3 linked regions of the Arabidopsis thaliana genome follow. The protein of the gene in region 1 interacts with the protein of each later gene in a pairwise test. Each region holds a gene or a part of one and is shown in the gene's direction. Other genes may lie near its edges.

Region 1 (3,825 bases):
GGTTATTACTTGAAGAAATTCCTCAGTTGCATCATGAAGGTTCGCCGCAGGTAGTGAAATTACTGGATGATGACTGCATGGATGGATGTCATATGAAATGTATTCCTAACAACAGAATTACTCCTTGTTTATGTCTATGTTAATTTTCCGTTTTCTTTTTTGAATAAGATATGTTTTCACTAATAATAAAACTTTGTTGCATAGTCCATACAAAAAATATTGAACATTATGTAAAAAAATTCAAAAAAGATAGTTAAGAACAAATTCAACATGGAAGAGGTGATGCCTAATTTTTCATCAAACCAGCCACCATTAGAATAATCACTAGGATGATATAAAAGCATATATATTGCCCACCAACTATAACTTATGAAGCTGTATATGTATGATCATGTGTGTAGCTGTTTTATATCATTTATTGGATCCAACGGTGGATCAATCCAACATAGAGTCCAAAAGAACCGGAACCGGAGAGAATGCCATGAACCGGTTTGTTGTTAGATACGTCTCATTTTCAGTATTTGATTTCTAGCTAAATAAGCTAGTCATGAACTTAAATCTCTAACGCCAACCATGCAATGAAACCAACTTTTCACATTTCAAATCGAACCCAAAGTCTTGTCGTCTACCGTGTAACAATAAATACCAAACTCACTACCTTTAAAATTCTCCTTTTTGAGACCAATTCGGATAAAACCAACAATCTCCTAAATGTTCACTTCCCAAATGTCGTAATCCATAAATCATACTCAAGAAGAAGGATTTAGACTATTAGGAGGTCATGTGCCAAAAATAACATAATACTAATGATAAATTAATCACAAATATTTAAGCACCATTTAGAATCATCAATCACAGTGGATTAGTGTTGGATTTGATTCTATTGAAATCCATGACTGAATAATACCCCTTAATGTGTAACGATTCAAAACTTTTTCTACAGAAAAAAAAAATTTGAAATCGAGACTAAACAAACTTAGGATAAAAAAATAGTCTTGAACATAGGTTTTCAAATTTGGTCCTCCAAAGAGATTAGGTTAGGTTTGGTTTACATTGGTTCACTAAAGCATGACAAGTACATAAACTGCCTTGCTGTAGTAACATGAAAACAAAGTCAGAGAGAAATCAAAACCCAAAACGATAAGACCCCATAGATAATGAACTGTCTAAAGACAAAACCTTTTGGCAAGATTTCTTGTCAGTTTGTTCCTGGATTCATATATATAAAGATCATTAGAAGTTTCATAGAGACAGAGAGACAAATTAAGTTGGGACTTTCATGAAAACTAGTAAAGAAAAACAAATAGTATAATTTTAACTCAAATACTATTTGTTTTTCTTTACTAATACTCTCGAAAGTCCCAACTCAAATACTAGTTGGACACACATGAAGCTACCAATCAGACCCAATGAAACTCAAAATCTTATCCTCCAAACACAGAAAAAAAGACTATGAATATGTTTGACTTTAGACAGCTAGAGTTTCAACTCAATTGACTAGGATGATCTAATCCTGATATCACATGAACCACAAATAGATGAAAGAGTAAGTTCTTGGCTTTAAGAGAGAGAGAGAGAGGTGACAAATGCATATGGCAGACCACAGTACATGTAATGCTTACCCTACAATAACTCAATGCTTGAACAAAAGAGAAAGGTTTTTTATATTCTGCACATGAGTGTACCATACTCTACCCCACTTCCTTGAATTAGGGCTACAGAGAAATGAATCTAGACCGTCCTCTAAAATCAAAGAAAGTATCTTTCTTTGTGTTGAAGATGAAAGTGTCCCACAAATGTCCCCAAAATGATGGGACACACTTTGCCTCAAAGTTGCTGCTACTGTTTACTACCCGACAGCTTTAGCTTTTGCCTTTGTCCTTAAATCAAGTTAATCCCATTTTTTCTAAATTACCAAAAAAGTGACTTTTCAATTCCTATAAAACAATCTTCTTCACAAAGCCTCTTATCTCATCAACAAGTCTTTCTCTCTCTCTAGACAACCACAAGAACACAAAACACACAAAAACAAAGAGGTTCTTTCTTTGAAGAAGAAATGGAAAAAGTTGATGTTTATGATGAGCTTGTTAACCTAAAGGCAACAGAGCTGAGATTGGGATTACCAGGGACAGAAGAAACTGTTTCTTGTGGAAAAAGCAACAAAAGAGTTTTACCTGAAGCTACTGAGAAAGAGATTGAATCCACTGGAAAAACTGAAACCGCTTCTCCTCCAAAGTAAGTGTTTGAATCAAATACAACTTCTCTGAAAATGTGTGTTGAGTTGTGAATCTGATCTAATCTAATCTATGCTATTTCTTGTTTTATAGGGCTCAGATTGTTGGATGGCCACCAGTTAGATCTTACAGAAAGAACAATGTTCAGACAAAGAAGAGTGAATCTGAAGGTCAAGGAAACTATGTGAAAGTAAGTATGGATGGTGCTCCATATCTAAGGAAGATAGATCTAACGATGTATAAACAATATCCAGAGTTGATGAAATCACTTGAAAACATGTTTAAATTCTCTGTGGGAGAATATTTTGAGAGAGAAGGATATAAAGGCTCAGACTTTGTACCTACTTATGAAGACAAAGATGGTGATTGGATGCTTGTTGGTGATGTTCCTTGGGAGTAAGTACAAATTTTCATTTATCTCTCAAATTAGTTAACTTATGACACAATCTTGTTTATGTATTTATGGTGTTTTGTTGTTATTGCAGGATGTTTGTTTCGTCTTGTAAGAGGCTAAGGATCATGAAAGGATCTGAAGTTAAAGGTTTAGGTTGTGGTGGTCTTTAACAAACCTAATTGAGAGATAAAGATCAAAGAGAAAGATTCAAAAACAGAGTTTTTTGTTCTGTTTCTTGAAACAGAGTAAATATAGCTCTGAAACTGCTCGGGTTCTTGGGGAGAGATGTTTCATACAATCATACTTTGTGAATGTTTACCTCATCGGTAAAAAGAGAGATGCTTAAAATGGTCTTAAGCATAAAAGTGTGAGAAAGATCTAAATCTAAACTTTAGCTGTAACTCTGTCTCCATTAAAGAGAAAGGTTTTGTGGTATTAGAAAGATCTAATCTGAAGATTATCTTTGTGTTTTTCACTTTTTATAATGTTCTTATCGAACAACTTTGATGTTTTTGATGTAATTACCCATTTTTCTGTTCTGTTTCTCTTCAAATTAAGATCTGTCTTTACAAAACTGTAACACAGAACATTAAACCTAACTTGTAGATGAACACAACGAAGACAAATCATTAAACCAAAGCTGCTTTATGGTAAAAATAATAATCCCAGCTTCTAAACATATATCATTGGATTCTAGTTTCTTTAAACTTAGATTATACATGTTTAGTCACCAAGATTAAAGAAATAAGAAATCTAATCGAGCAGTGAGAATATTTTTGGGGCTTTGGAAATGTTTATATTATCTTTTGTTGTTACCAACTGTGACTTTGGTCCCCCATACCTTAAACAAGTAAATCTACCCAACTGTGCTAATTTGTCTCCACTATCACTTATAATAATCTATGAACCTTGGAACTAGAGTAATATTTTAAAATGGTATAGATAGGTTCATTGAATTTAGGTTTTTCCTTTGTGCACCAACAATTTTTACATTCATACCTAATGTTCTTGATGCAAGATGATTATTAAGTCAAGAATTTTACCAAATACTTAAACCTAGTTGTCTCGATGATGATGATGATGATTATGATGAGACAACAATCGATCAACAAAAGAAGGATTCAAGATTCTTGATGAGATTGGAAAACTGAATCTATATTTCTAACAAAAGTTTTTGTAATCTTCTTCTGTGGAACA
Region 2 (7,534 bases), 2.9 Mb from region 1:
AATAAAATCTTTATAAGTTAATATCAGTATACATTAATAAAATAGCATGGTACTAACATTATCAATTTATAGATGTTTTATTGTATTATTGATGAGTAAATATGCATATTTATGTCCACTGAAAATAATTAATTGATAAATTTAAAATATATTGAAATTATAGTAATCTTAATTTTAAATTTAATTTCATGTAATAGTATTTGTTTTGTGCCCATGATGATGAGCCCATATAATTTGACATCATGTTGTTTTAAAAAATCAATCGTTGAGTTATATAAATGATTGCGACGTATCGCACGATATTACCATCGATAGAACGAAGGAAACTTCCATTTAGCAGTTTTTTTTATTCAAAAAACATATCTTTCATATAATAGAAGTGGAAAAGTTACACCAAGGAAAATTGAACCTACAATCGAAATAAATGAGATAACAAAAGTATTACAATAAATTTATTGAAAGACACCAAACCAGATGAATGATCCGTTGAGCTATCCAACAAGGGTCTAGATGACATTGAAGAATGTTAATGATAAATAATGAGAACTGAGGCTGGCTTTGAGGATGAATTATGCAATCTTGCATTGCGCTTTTTTCCATATGGAGTACAGTGAGGCTTGATAGGCAATTCGAAGAATCAAAGTAGTTTTCTTGTCACGACAAGGATTCTTCAACCATCTAACTTCATCCTCAAATTGATTTAGAGGAGAAAGATGGGCTTTATCATAGAAATAGTGTCATACCTTTGCAACATAAGAGCAGTCGAAGAATAAATGTTAGCGAGATTCATCCATCAAATTACAGAGAAGACACGACGAAGGAGTAGTCATGCCCCATCGAATCATTTTGTCTCTAGTGAGAAGTCTATGATGAGACTTTAGCCAAGCAATGAAAGCATGCTTAAGAATCCTTCCTGGAAATCACACAGATTCAAACCGATCCATCTTTGTGTCAGGAGGATGAAGATGTGCATAAGTTTTTTTTTGAATATTAATGTGCCTAAGTTTTAGCAGCAGAGAAAATATTTGATGCATGGATATCATCACCTTCCAAAGGTAAACATCATCCTCTACATCCTCTTGTAAGTTAACAGTAGAATAGGAAGGAAGACATTCTTTAAGCAACTGAATAATGGGACTGCGACTTCGAGAATTTGTAAGCCACTATTGTCTCTTTCTCAATGCATCCGCAACCACAACAGAACGAGGGAGAAGAGAAATTCTTAGTCATAAATCTTCAGGTTAGCTCGACAAATATGGTCCCAAAAAAATCCAATTATCAGTCCAGAAATTACAAGTTATTTCTGAACCAATTTCACAAACGATGAAAAACCTAGTTAAGGGTCTTAACTTGCAAAGATTATTCCAAATCCAGCTTCTCCAAGTGATACACTCCATATCCCAAATTTTTTAAAAATTATTCAAACAAGATCCATGTGTATTAGTTTTCTCTTTTGGTAAGTAAAATAGTGGTATCCATAAGATGTTGGATTATCGGGCATCTATTTGCTAATGATTGTTTCTAAATTAGAACTTAGATTTGCGAATCTAATAATACATCACTTATCAATAGATAAACCTTTGACCATTTTTTCAACGAACTCATAAAAGATCCAACAAAATATTTTTTGAGTTATTAAATTAAATACTACTATAAATTATCTTTAAATAAATCAAATTATGGGAGTATTTGGTGTTTCTTTCATCAATGAATGGAGCAAAAATAAAAAGTATTTAAAATAAACAACGCTAACATTTATGACAACTCTATTATCTCTCTCTCACTCTCTCACTTCAAATACTATAATTCATTGTCCTTTTCATCGAATCCAAGACCTCAAAAAAAACAATTATTATTTTTCAACGATCAAGATCTCAAGAGTCAAATCCAACGGTCAAAAAGAAGTGACTCTGGTACTGACACCACCTCTCATAATTCTCGTTAGTAGGACCTCTCTTCTTCTTCCTTCTCTCCACTGTATCGGATCCGGGTCAAATCCGGGTCGGGTGGAGTCGGGTCGGGTCTCTTATAAGAGGAGGAAAACCACTTACTCACTTTCTTCTTCTTTTCTCTCTCTCTTTCACCCCCACGCACTCTTCTTTTCTCTCTCTGACACATATCTTTTTCTCTCACTAACCATTTCTTTCTCTCTCTCTCTTCTGTTTTTGAAAGCCAAAGTGTCTCTCTTGGACAGTGATGGAACTGCTTCAAGAGATTTAATTTTTTACCCACGAGAGAAGTCAAGTTGTTGAAGAAGAAAGATTTGTTCTTTTGTCTTGTTTCTTTCATTTTTTCATCCACAAAGATCTCAAAGACAAGAGTTTTTTTTTTTCTGTTGGGGTTGCTTCAATGCGTACTTGTAGTAGAGAGCTTGTGTTGTTGTTCATGGTTTGATGATGAGAAGAAACAGATTCTGGTTTTGAAGAAATGGGGTTTGTTCTGTTTCTTGTGTTTAAGGGTTTTATGGATGGTTTTTTGATTCGAAGCTTTCACTGAGTCTTATGGTTGTGAGTGAGATTTTTGGGGGTTTGAACAAAGGAGATGGAGAAAGACGAGTTTGTACTTCCGGAGCTAAAGAGTTATAGCTACTGTAGTAGCTGGAAGTGAAGAAGATTTTTTAATAGATTGTACGGAAAAATTAGGGTTTTCAAAGTTTGGTTTCTTGAAGTTGAATTAGACATGAAGCTGTCAACATCTGGATTGGGTCAACAGGGTCATGAAGGTGACTTGTTTACTCTCTGATTTTCTTAGTTCTGTTTCTGGACAAGTGTTTTCTTAGTTCTTGTGTCTGTGTTTGTTCTAACAGGAGAGAAGTGTCTGAATTCTGAGCTATGGCATGCTTGTGCTGGACCATTAGTCTCTCTTCCATCATCTGGTAGTCGAGTTGTTTACTTTCCACAGGGTCACAGTGAACAGGTTTGGGTTGTTGTTTAAAAGTATGGAGCTTTATTTTTAGACTTGTGTTATATTTGGGCATTTCCATTTAAATAGAAGTGTACTTGTAGGTAGCTGCTACAACTAATAAGGAAGTTGATGGTCACATACCCAATTACCCAAGCCTACCACCACAATTGATATGCCAGCTCCATAATGTTACAATGCATGTGCGTAGTTAGTTCCCTGTCCCTTTCCATATTCAATTTTTACTTTTGTAAACTAGTTTTGGGATGATGTGCTTTGTAAGTATGGGTTTCGTTTCTACTATTTCAGGCAGATGTTGAGACGGATGAAGTCTATGCTCAAATGACACTTCAACCATTGACACCGGTAGATACATTATACATAACAGGTTTTTGAGTCTGTGAATTAATAACTTAAGCTTTAGGATTGGTGTTGTTTATAGGAGGAGCAGAAGGAAACATTTGTACCGATTGAGTTGGGGATACCGAGTAAGCAACCTAGTAATTATTTTTGTAAGACTCTCACAGCTAGTGATACCAGTACACATGGAGGGTTTTCTGTTCCTAGACGTGCTGCTGAGAAAGTGTTTCCTCCATTGGTATTATACTTTTTCTTTTACTTACTTTGCTATAAATTGTTGTTGAGAAAATATATGTATTCCTTTTAATATCTTGTGTCTTCCCTGTTGCAGGATTACACACTGCAGCCACCAGCTCAAGAACTGATTGCAAGGGATCTCCATGATGTTGAATGGAAGTTTAGGCATATCTTTCGGGGTAGGTTTCACCTTTCCTCGGTGTGCGTTGATGATCCCTTTTTAACTGTAGTCGCCAGTGTAAAAATTTCAATTGGCTGTTAAGTATGTCTGAAGCAGCATCTGCTGTTATTTTCACTACTCATGTGTGGTTTAGTTGAAGAAACCACGGAGGCTCTGTGTTCTTGTCGTTGTCTATTATAACGTGGAATTATTTACTTGTTCATATGAAGTTAAGTTGATTTGAATCCTTCTTCTTGGTTTGTTAGGAATAACTTACATGGTTTTGGTGTGATTATGCAGGACAGCCCAAACGGCATCTCCTAACTACTGGATGGAGTGTCTTTGTCAGTGCCAAGCGACTAGTAGCTGGAGATTCTGTCATTTTCATCAGGTTTAGTTCTTTTGTTGTACGTTCAGTTTGTGGATTGTGATTATATTTGTAACACTATTACTTGTTTCCAGGAATGAAAAGAATCAACTCTTTTTGGGAATTCGTCATGCCACTCGGCCGCAGACTATTGTACCATCATCTGTTTTATCTAGTGATAGCATGCATATTGGACTCCTTGCTGCTGCTGCACATGCTTCTGCAACTAATAGCTGTTTCACTGTTTTCTTTCATCCAAGGTTGAAAAATCTCTCCCACCTGCATCTTTTTCATCTCTCGGTATATCCGATAATATATCCTACTAATATTCTCTTCATGTTCAGGGCTAGCCAATCTGAGTTTGTGATACAACTTTCCAAGTACATTAAAGCCGTTTTTCACACGCGTATTTCAGTTGGGATGCGCTTTCGCATGCTCTTCGAGACAGAAGAGTCGAGTGTCCGCAGGTGATGATGCCACATATCTGGAAATGCAATCTTGAAACTGAGAAAACTATATCATTATGTTACACATATTACTTTAACATGTTTTCTGACAGTGGCATGGGGAACTTTCCAGGTACATGGGTACTATAACTGGTATTAGTGATCTAGATTCTGTTCGTTGGCCAAACTCTCATTGGCGATCTGTGAAGGTAACAACACTATTAAGCCTGTTACCTTATTTAAATTCCATGGAACGTCACACAGCTTTCTGATGATTTAGTCCAATATTACTCTGAAATTCCATCAACATTGATGAACTGTGGCATTATTGGTGTAGGTTGGTTGGGATGAATCGACTGCAGGGGAGAGACAGCCAAGGGTTTCTTTATGGGAGATTGAGCCTCTGACTACCTTTCCTATGTATCCATCTCTTTTTCCTCTCAGACTAAAACGTCCATGGCATGCTGGCACATCATCTTTGCCTGGTATCCACCTTTTGGCTCTTCTCCTAACTGTTATTAACTAGTATAGTACGTTCGTGAAGTCTCTTACTGTCACTCAGTGTTTCTGCTATTGTAACTTAGTTGCTACTTCGGATAAATAACAAATGTTCGATTGAGTAGAGCTCTGAAGAGGGTCTTACTGTTATAATTTATTTACAAAGAAGTGTGTAGGTACTCTCCATAGCTATTTACTCAAAACATTATGATGTTACAGATGGAAGGGGTGATTTGGGAAGTGGTCTAACATGGCTAAGAGGGGGAGGTGGAGAGCAGCAAGGTTTGCTTCCTCTAAATTATCCATCTGTTGGTTTGTTTCCATGGATGCAACAAAGGCTGGATCTCAGTCAAATGGGGACTGATAATAATCAGCAATACCAAGCAATGTTAGCTGCTGGGTTGCAGAACATCGGCGGTGGAGATCCTTTAAGACAGCAGTTTGTACAGCTGCAAGAGCCTCACCACCAATATCTTCAACAATCAGCTTCCCATAATTCTGATTTGATGCTTCAGCAGCAACAGCAGCAACAAGCGTCACGCCATCTCATGCATGCTCAAACACAGATTATGAGTGAGAATCTTCCGCAGCAGAATATGCGACAAGAAGTTAGTAACCAACCAGCTGGACAGCAGCAACAGCTACAGCAACCGGACCAAAATGCATATCTTAATGCTTTCAAAATGCAAAATGGCCATCTTCAACAGTGGCAGCAGCAATCAGAGATGCCATCTCCCTCGTTCATGAAGTCAGATTTTACTGACTCAAGCAACAAATTTGCAACAACTGCTAGTCCGGCTTCTGGAGATGGCAATCTTTTGAATTTTTCTATAACCGGTCAGTCTGTACTCCCTGAGCAGTTAACAACAGAGGGCTGGTCTCCAAAAGCATCCAACACTTTTTCTGAACCGTTGTCACTTCCACAAGCCTATCCTGGGAAGAGTCTTGCTCTAGAACCCGGAAATCCGCAGAATCCCTCTCTTTTCGGTGTTGATCCCGACTCTGGACTCTTCCTCCCCAGTACGGTTCCCCGCTTTGCTTCTTCATCAGGAGATGCTGAAGCTTCCCCTATGTCACTAACAGATTCAGGATTTCAGAATTCCTTATATAGCTGCATGCAAGACACAACTCATGAGTTATTGCATGGAGCTGGACAGATTAACTCGTCCAACCAAACCAAGAACTTTGTAAAGGTGCTGGTTTGTTCTAGGCTCACCGACTTCTCTGTGGCTCTACTGTCTCTAAGAAAATACTGATATGCTTACAAATCCAAAACTGCAGGTTTATAAATCTGGTTCGGTTGGGCGTTCATTAGACATCTCCCGATTCAGCAGCTACCACGAGCTGCGAGAAGAGTTAGGGAAGATGTTTGCTATCGAAGGGTTGTTGGAAGACCCCCTTAGATCAGGCTGGCAGCTTGTATTCGTTGACAAGGAAAATGATATTCTTCTCCTTGGTGATGACCCATGGGAGTAAGTAAAGTACTCTTCTTCTATTTGTATACATTGCTTTAGATTTGAGATAGATCTTTAAAAGCTTGTTCTGCAGGTCATTTGTGAATAACGTTTGGTACATAAAGATACTATCACCAGAAGATGTGCATCAAATGGGAGATCATGGAGAAGGCAGTGGTGGGTTATTCCCGCAAAACCCGACCCATCTCTAGAAGCTGCTTCGGTGTTAGTCTCATCATGCTACAACGCGGGAGCCCTTTGTTTCCCATTTGAAGTCGTTTCCACTCATCTTTATATGCCATTCGTTCGCATCTCTCTCGTTTTGACGTTTTTAGAAAGAAACATAATCATATTTGTGAGTATGGGTCCTGAAACTTTAGGACGTACTTTAGCTTGTATTAGACAGACACTCTCGTCATAAACATAAGAACCTTTATGTAGCTGTCTCAGGGTAACTAAACTTTTCTAGTATTTATTCTTATTCTATTTTTGTAACAACATTGTTAGACATTCAGTTTGGTCAGACCAATTAGATTCCATAAGGTGTGAAACCAAAACCAACCAAATCTTTAAAACACAACCATTAATCACAAAATGTTACCAAAAGCTTCTACTAGTAACTTAGGTTGAAGAATGACATAGATGAAGTACCAACAACTCATTTTCTCCCTTTCTTTTTGACCCAAAGAGTACTTAAACGTGCACACACATCAGACTTATCAACCTTGGACAGCATTCATGGCATCTCTCAATCTCTTATCATCTTTAGCATCATAGAAGCATTTACGTCTCTTCGAGTCACTTATAAGGTTTGCCCAAATCGAACCACTCCGAGCCAGTGTTGACTCATTTCCAATCACCCATAAACAGTGCCTAGCTCGAGTGAGTGCCACATTGGCTCTTTGACGGTTACTGAGAAATCCAACCTTCCCGTTACTATTACTTCTAACGGTAGAGATGATGATAATGTCTTCTTCACCACCTTGAAACCCATCTACAGACCGAACATTCACAGTGAAAAGCTCACCTGATAAGGAACTGTACTTATCTCTGATTCTCTCTTGGATTGCTCTAACTTGTCCTTTGTAAGGAGTAATCACTCCAACACTCA
Region 3 (3,491 bases), about 15 Mb from region 1:
ACAATCAGCTTCAAAACAAACAAACATTATATATCACATTTGACTCCACTCAAGAAGATTGTTTCACAAAGTAAATGGTGGTACTCGAAACATCAATAGGGCAGTACGGTCATAATGCTGGAAACAATTGTATCTGAGAAACAAGAGAATCCATTATGTAGCATACCAGACTTTCTAGGTTGTCGAATTCTGCTAAGATCTCTTCTTCATCTTCCGCTGATAGTTTCTCACCTAATATGGCACTCAGTTCCTAAAATCAAAGTGTTTAACAGTTAGATCAAGCAAGGGAATACTCATAACCATGAAGGAGAAAAACAAGGAGAAGCTCGGCAAATGTGACAAATGATTGTAACTATAAGCGAACCACACAAACAAAAAGGAACAACAAGATTCACTATTAACTCACATCCTGATAAGCCTTGGCCTCGGCAGTGTCATCCATCAGTTTTTGAACATCATCAAGGTTGACCTCGCTCTGAATCGCCTTAATTGCATTGTTACCTTGCTTTAAGCTCTCAAAGACTGCTTTTTGCTTGCTTGTAAGTTCGATATCTGCCAACTGAGTCATAAAGACAGGTTCAAAATATATTCGTTTATGTTTCTTTCAAAACATAAAATCAGCTATAAAAGAAAAGAAAAGTACTGTTTATATAGCACTAAGGTTATGTGATGGAAACAAGGAGATGATAAGAAGAAGGTCAAGCCAATTTACTTGTTGTTCGACATTGATGAGCCACTGATCTACTTGCTTCAACAACTCTTCTTGTGTCCGTTTTTTCTTCAATGCTAACAAAGCCCTGTCCTTTCGCTTCTCACGGATTAAGTCTCTTGCAGCTTGCTTTTCTGCTTCAATTACTTTCTCAAGCTAAAAAGAAAGGTTTAAGAGAAAGAAAGGTCAAAGCTCAGGATCATAGGAAAGAAAAAAAAAACATTTGCATTCCACTTTCTCAGCGATCAAACTCACTATCTACCAATAGTGGCGATGAAATAATTAAACCATCATTAGCTTGACATAAGAATCAACATTTGGATCCAAGACAGATTCTGAAGGCAACTTCTACATTTAACTGCTTCTTAAACCTCGAGAACCCATAGCCGAAATTCAGTAACCTTTACCCTTATTCATAACCATTAGTGAATCGAATCAAACTGCACTTTCTGTCTCAGACCAAATTCGAGCAAGAATAAACCCTAGAAATGCGAAATCACAAGGCGAAGGAATCAAGAACCTGTTGCTGATATTGACCAAGCTTGCGCCTTTGGGTTTTGAGAGAGAGAATCGCTCGATCAACCTCCGTGATCTTCGGTTTCTTCACGAATAAATTCCCCATCGAGTTTTGTCAAGGGTTCGGCGATTTCAAACCAAGTCCAAATCTTTTTGTTTTCACCTTTCCCAAGCAAAAAAGCTCCCGCGTTTTCTCAAATTCGCGTTTATAAAAAAGCGTTCCGAATCAAAACAACTGTCACAGTTCTAATTTTATCACACGCTCTGCAACAGCGCGTGGTCGGTGAACACATTAACATAAATACGCGAGAAGAGACGCGCCGATTCATTTTTCTTCAGAATCTCTCAATTCTCTTTTGTCGATTTCGCAGTAGAAGAGTCCTTTCGCCGTCTCCGAGAAACTCGTTGCAGCGTCACGACCAGGTTTCCTTCTCACTTTTACTAAATTTTGTAATTGCTCGGTTTTTTGTTTAGTGCGAGTTTACTCTGGTCTGAAGAGAACATTTTGGGTCTGCTTATTTACAGTTGGAGAAAATGTCTTCTAGAGGAAAAAGGAAAGACGAAGATGTCAGAGCATCAGATGACGAATCTGAAACCCACGCGCCGGCTAAGAAAGTCGCAAAGCCAGCAGACGATTCCGACCAGTCTGACGATATCGTCGTCTGCAACGTTAGTCTACACTTTCTGTCTATCTTTCAATTTCGTTATCTACTCTATTAGCAGTGAGCTTATGGGTTTCGGTCAAGTTTTAATTTTGTTGATGTGTTTTGCTCAAAATTAGGGTTTTAATCAAATTAGGGTTCATGTTGGTTATACATCAGATATCTAAGAATAGGAGAGTCTCTGTAAGGAATTGGAACGGGAAGATTTGGATTGACATTCGTGAGTTCTATGTCAAGGACGGAAAGACTTTGCCTGGCAAGAAAGGTAACTTTATTTTGTAATTTAAACCAATGCCCCTTGGCTCTCATAATTCATTATTTCTAGTAATGTGTTTCCTCATCTCTTAGTTTTATATTTCGTTACTGTTTTGCTTTGTTAAGTTTCTGCATTTAGTCAGGTTTATAGAATTGCATATCTTAGGGTTTTATAATAGGCAATTCTGCTTATTGAGACTGTTTATGGACTTGTAAGTATGAGCGGAGATGGTGCAGAGTGTTTGCTTTTGTACAACAACGTTTTGTTTATTTTGGTGCTATTGCTCCTTCATGTCTTTCTCTAGAGACAGCTATATTAGTTTATCTCTACATAACTAATCATGTTGACAAGATTATCTCTATGTTTGTTATACGTTGCAGGTATCTCTCTAAGCGTGGATCAGGTACTCACATCTCTTTCTATCTCTCTCCACTGTTTTATGTCTCCTAGAAGTGTTTCTGTTTTCTTGTTATTTGCTTATTACACAGCTTTTCCTTAATGCAGTGGAACACTCTTCGGAACCACGCAGAGGATATCGAGAAGGCCCTCTCTGACCTTTCTTAGGTTTTAAAACTTGTATCATTGGTTGTACGTCTATTAGAATATGGCTCAGTTGTTTTGGTTGTTTTTGTAGAACAACACCATGTTCTGCTAGTGTAAGCTGCTTCAAATTAGTTGGTGTATGGAATCTTTCACTTTTGGTTCAGACAAGCTTTGGTTGGTATTAAGAATATAATGATTGCTCTTTTATTTACTGCTGTAGTGCTGTTTTATTTGCAAATTAAGATACGTTGCAGGAATACAAGTATTCATTTGATAAGTTATAAACAAGATAGGTCTAAATGTTACATAGCTCTTGCCAAACTTCACTTGATCCGGACAAGGCCATAAGCAGACATTGTCTTTGAAGATGAACCCATCACAATAAATGTATCACTCTGTGTTGCTACTTTCATTGCTATAGTTGCTCTTTTCCAAAGAATATTTACCTTCCCAAAAAACTCCCCCGTTTTAAGTTTGGCCGCGCGTGTTCTCAAACTGTGCGCTTGTAAAATGGCGTTCCGAATCTGATATCACAGTTGTAATTCGGTGAACGCAGTAGATATATTACGCGAGAAAAGGAGAGAGGTGCTTTTTATTTAACTTGAGAATCTCAAGAGTCAATTTTTGCAGTAGAAGAGTGTTTTTTTTAGAGGTTAAGAAAATGTCTGAGAACGGAAAAAGGAAAGACGAGGATGTCAGAGCATCAGACGACCGCGACGAATCTGAGACCCACGCGCCGCCTAAGAAAGTGGCAAAGCCAGCGGACGAGATTGAGGACATCTTCATCTGCAATGTTAGTCTCTCT

What was found.
Region 2: the proteins of ATAUX2-11 (region 1) and ARF8 interact in a two-hybrid assay, tested with the Arabidopsis thaliana proteins (2 studies listed by BioGRID).
Region 3: the proteins of ATAUX2-11 (region 1) and KIWI interact in binary tests that used the Arabidopsis thaliana proteins (3 or more experiments, as listed by UniProt).

The regions. Positions count from the first base shown.
Region 1 is NC_003076.8:17,548,409-17,552,233, forward strand, and holds ATAUX2-11 (AUX/IAA transcriptional regulator family protein), read left to right. Parts: upstream 1-1,770; 5' UTR 1,771-2,056; coding exon 2,057-2,235; intron 2,236-2,327; coding exon 2,328-2,630; intron 2,631-2,719; coding exon 2,720-2,798; 3' UTR 2,799-3,307; downstream 3,308-3,825. Other genes in the region: AT5G43695 (uncharacterized protein), read left to right, coding at 1-143. UniProt on the Arabidopsis thaliana protein: Aux/IAA proteins are short-lived transcriptional factors that function as repressors of early auxin response genes at low auxin concentrations.
Region 2 is NC_003076.8:14,627,472-14,635,005, forward strand, and holds ARF8 (auxin response factor 8), read left to right. Parts: upstream 1-1,981; 5' UTR 1,982-2,679; coding exon 2,680-2,722; intron 2,723-2,806; coding exon 2,807-2,916; intron 2,917-3,005; coding exon 3,006-3,104; exon of another isoform or gene 3,105-3,210; coding exon 3,211-3,267; intron 3,268-3,343; coding exon 3,344-3,499; intron 3,500-3,592; coding exon 3,593-3,677; intron 3,678-3,958; coding exon 3,959-4,049; intron 4,050-4,120; coding exon 4,121-4,285; intron 4,286-4,369; coding exon 4,370-4,492; intron 4,493-4,604; coding exon 4,605-4,680; intron 4,681-4,808; coding exon 4,809-4,956; intron 4,957-5,188; coding exon 5,189-6,162; intron 6,163-6,250; coding exon 6,251-6,441; coding exon of another isoform or gene 6,442-6,445; intron 6,446-6,517; coding exon 6,518-6,635; 3' UTR 6,636-6,983; downstream 6,984-7,534. Other genes in the region: AT5G37030 (P-loop containing nucleoside triphosphate hydrolases superfamily protein), read right to left, coding at 7,143-7,534. UniProt on the Arabidopsis thaliana protein: Auxin response factors (ARFs) are transcriptional factors that bind specifically to the DNA sequence 5'-TGTCTC-3' found in the auxin-responsive promoter elements (AuxREs). Seems to act as transcriptional activator.
Region 3 is NC_003076.8:2,874,637-2,878,127, reverse strand, and holds KIWI (ssDNA-binding transcriptional regulator), read left to right. Parts: upstream 1-1,518; 5' UTR 1,519-1,648; intron 1,649-1,750; 5' UTR 1,751-1,759; coding exon 1,760-1,894; intron 1,895-2,006; coding exon of another isoform or gene 2,007-2,046; coding exon 2,047-2,152; coding exon of another isoform or gene 2,153-2,169; exon of another isoform or gene 2,170-2,523; coding exon 2,524-2,642; 3' UTR 2,643-2,647; coding exon of another isoform or gene 2,648-2,707; 3' UTR 2,708-2,940; downstream 2,941-3,491. Other genes in the region: VPS20.2 (vacuolar protein sorting-associated protein 20.2), read right to left, coding at 1-8, 167-250, 407-559, 713-865, 1,230-1,331; AT5G09240 (ssDNA-binding transcriptional regulator), read left to right, coding at 3,348-3,479. UniProt on the Arabidopsis thaliana protein: General coactivator that functions cooperatively with TAFs and mediates functional interactions between upstream activators and the general transcriptional machinery. Binds single-stranded DNA.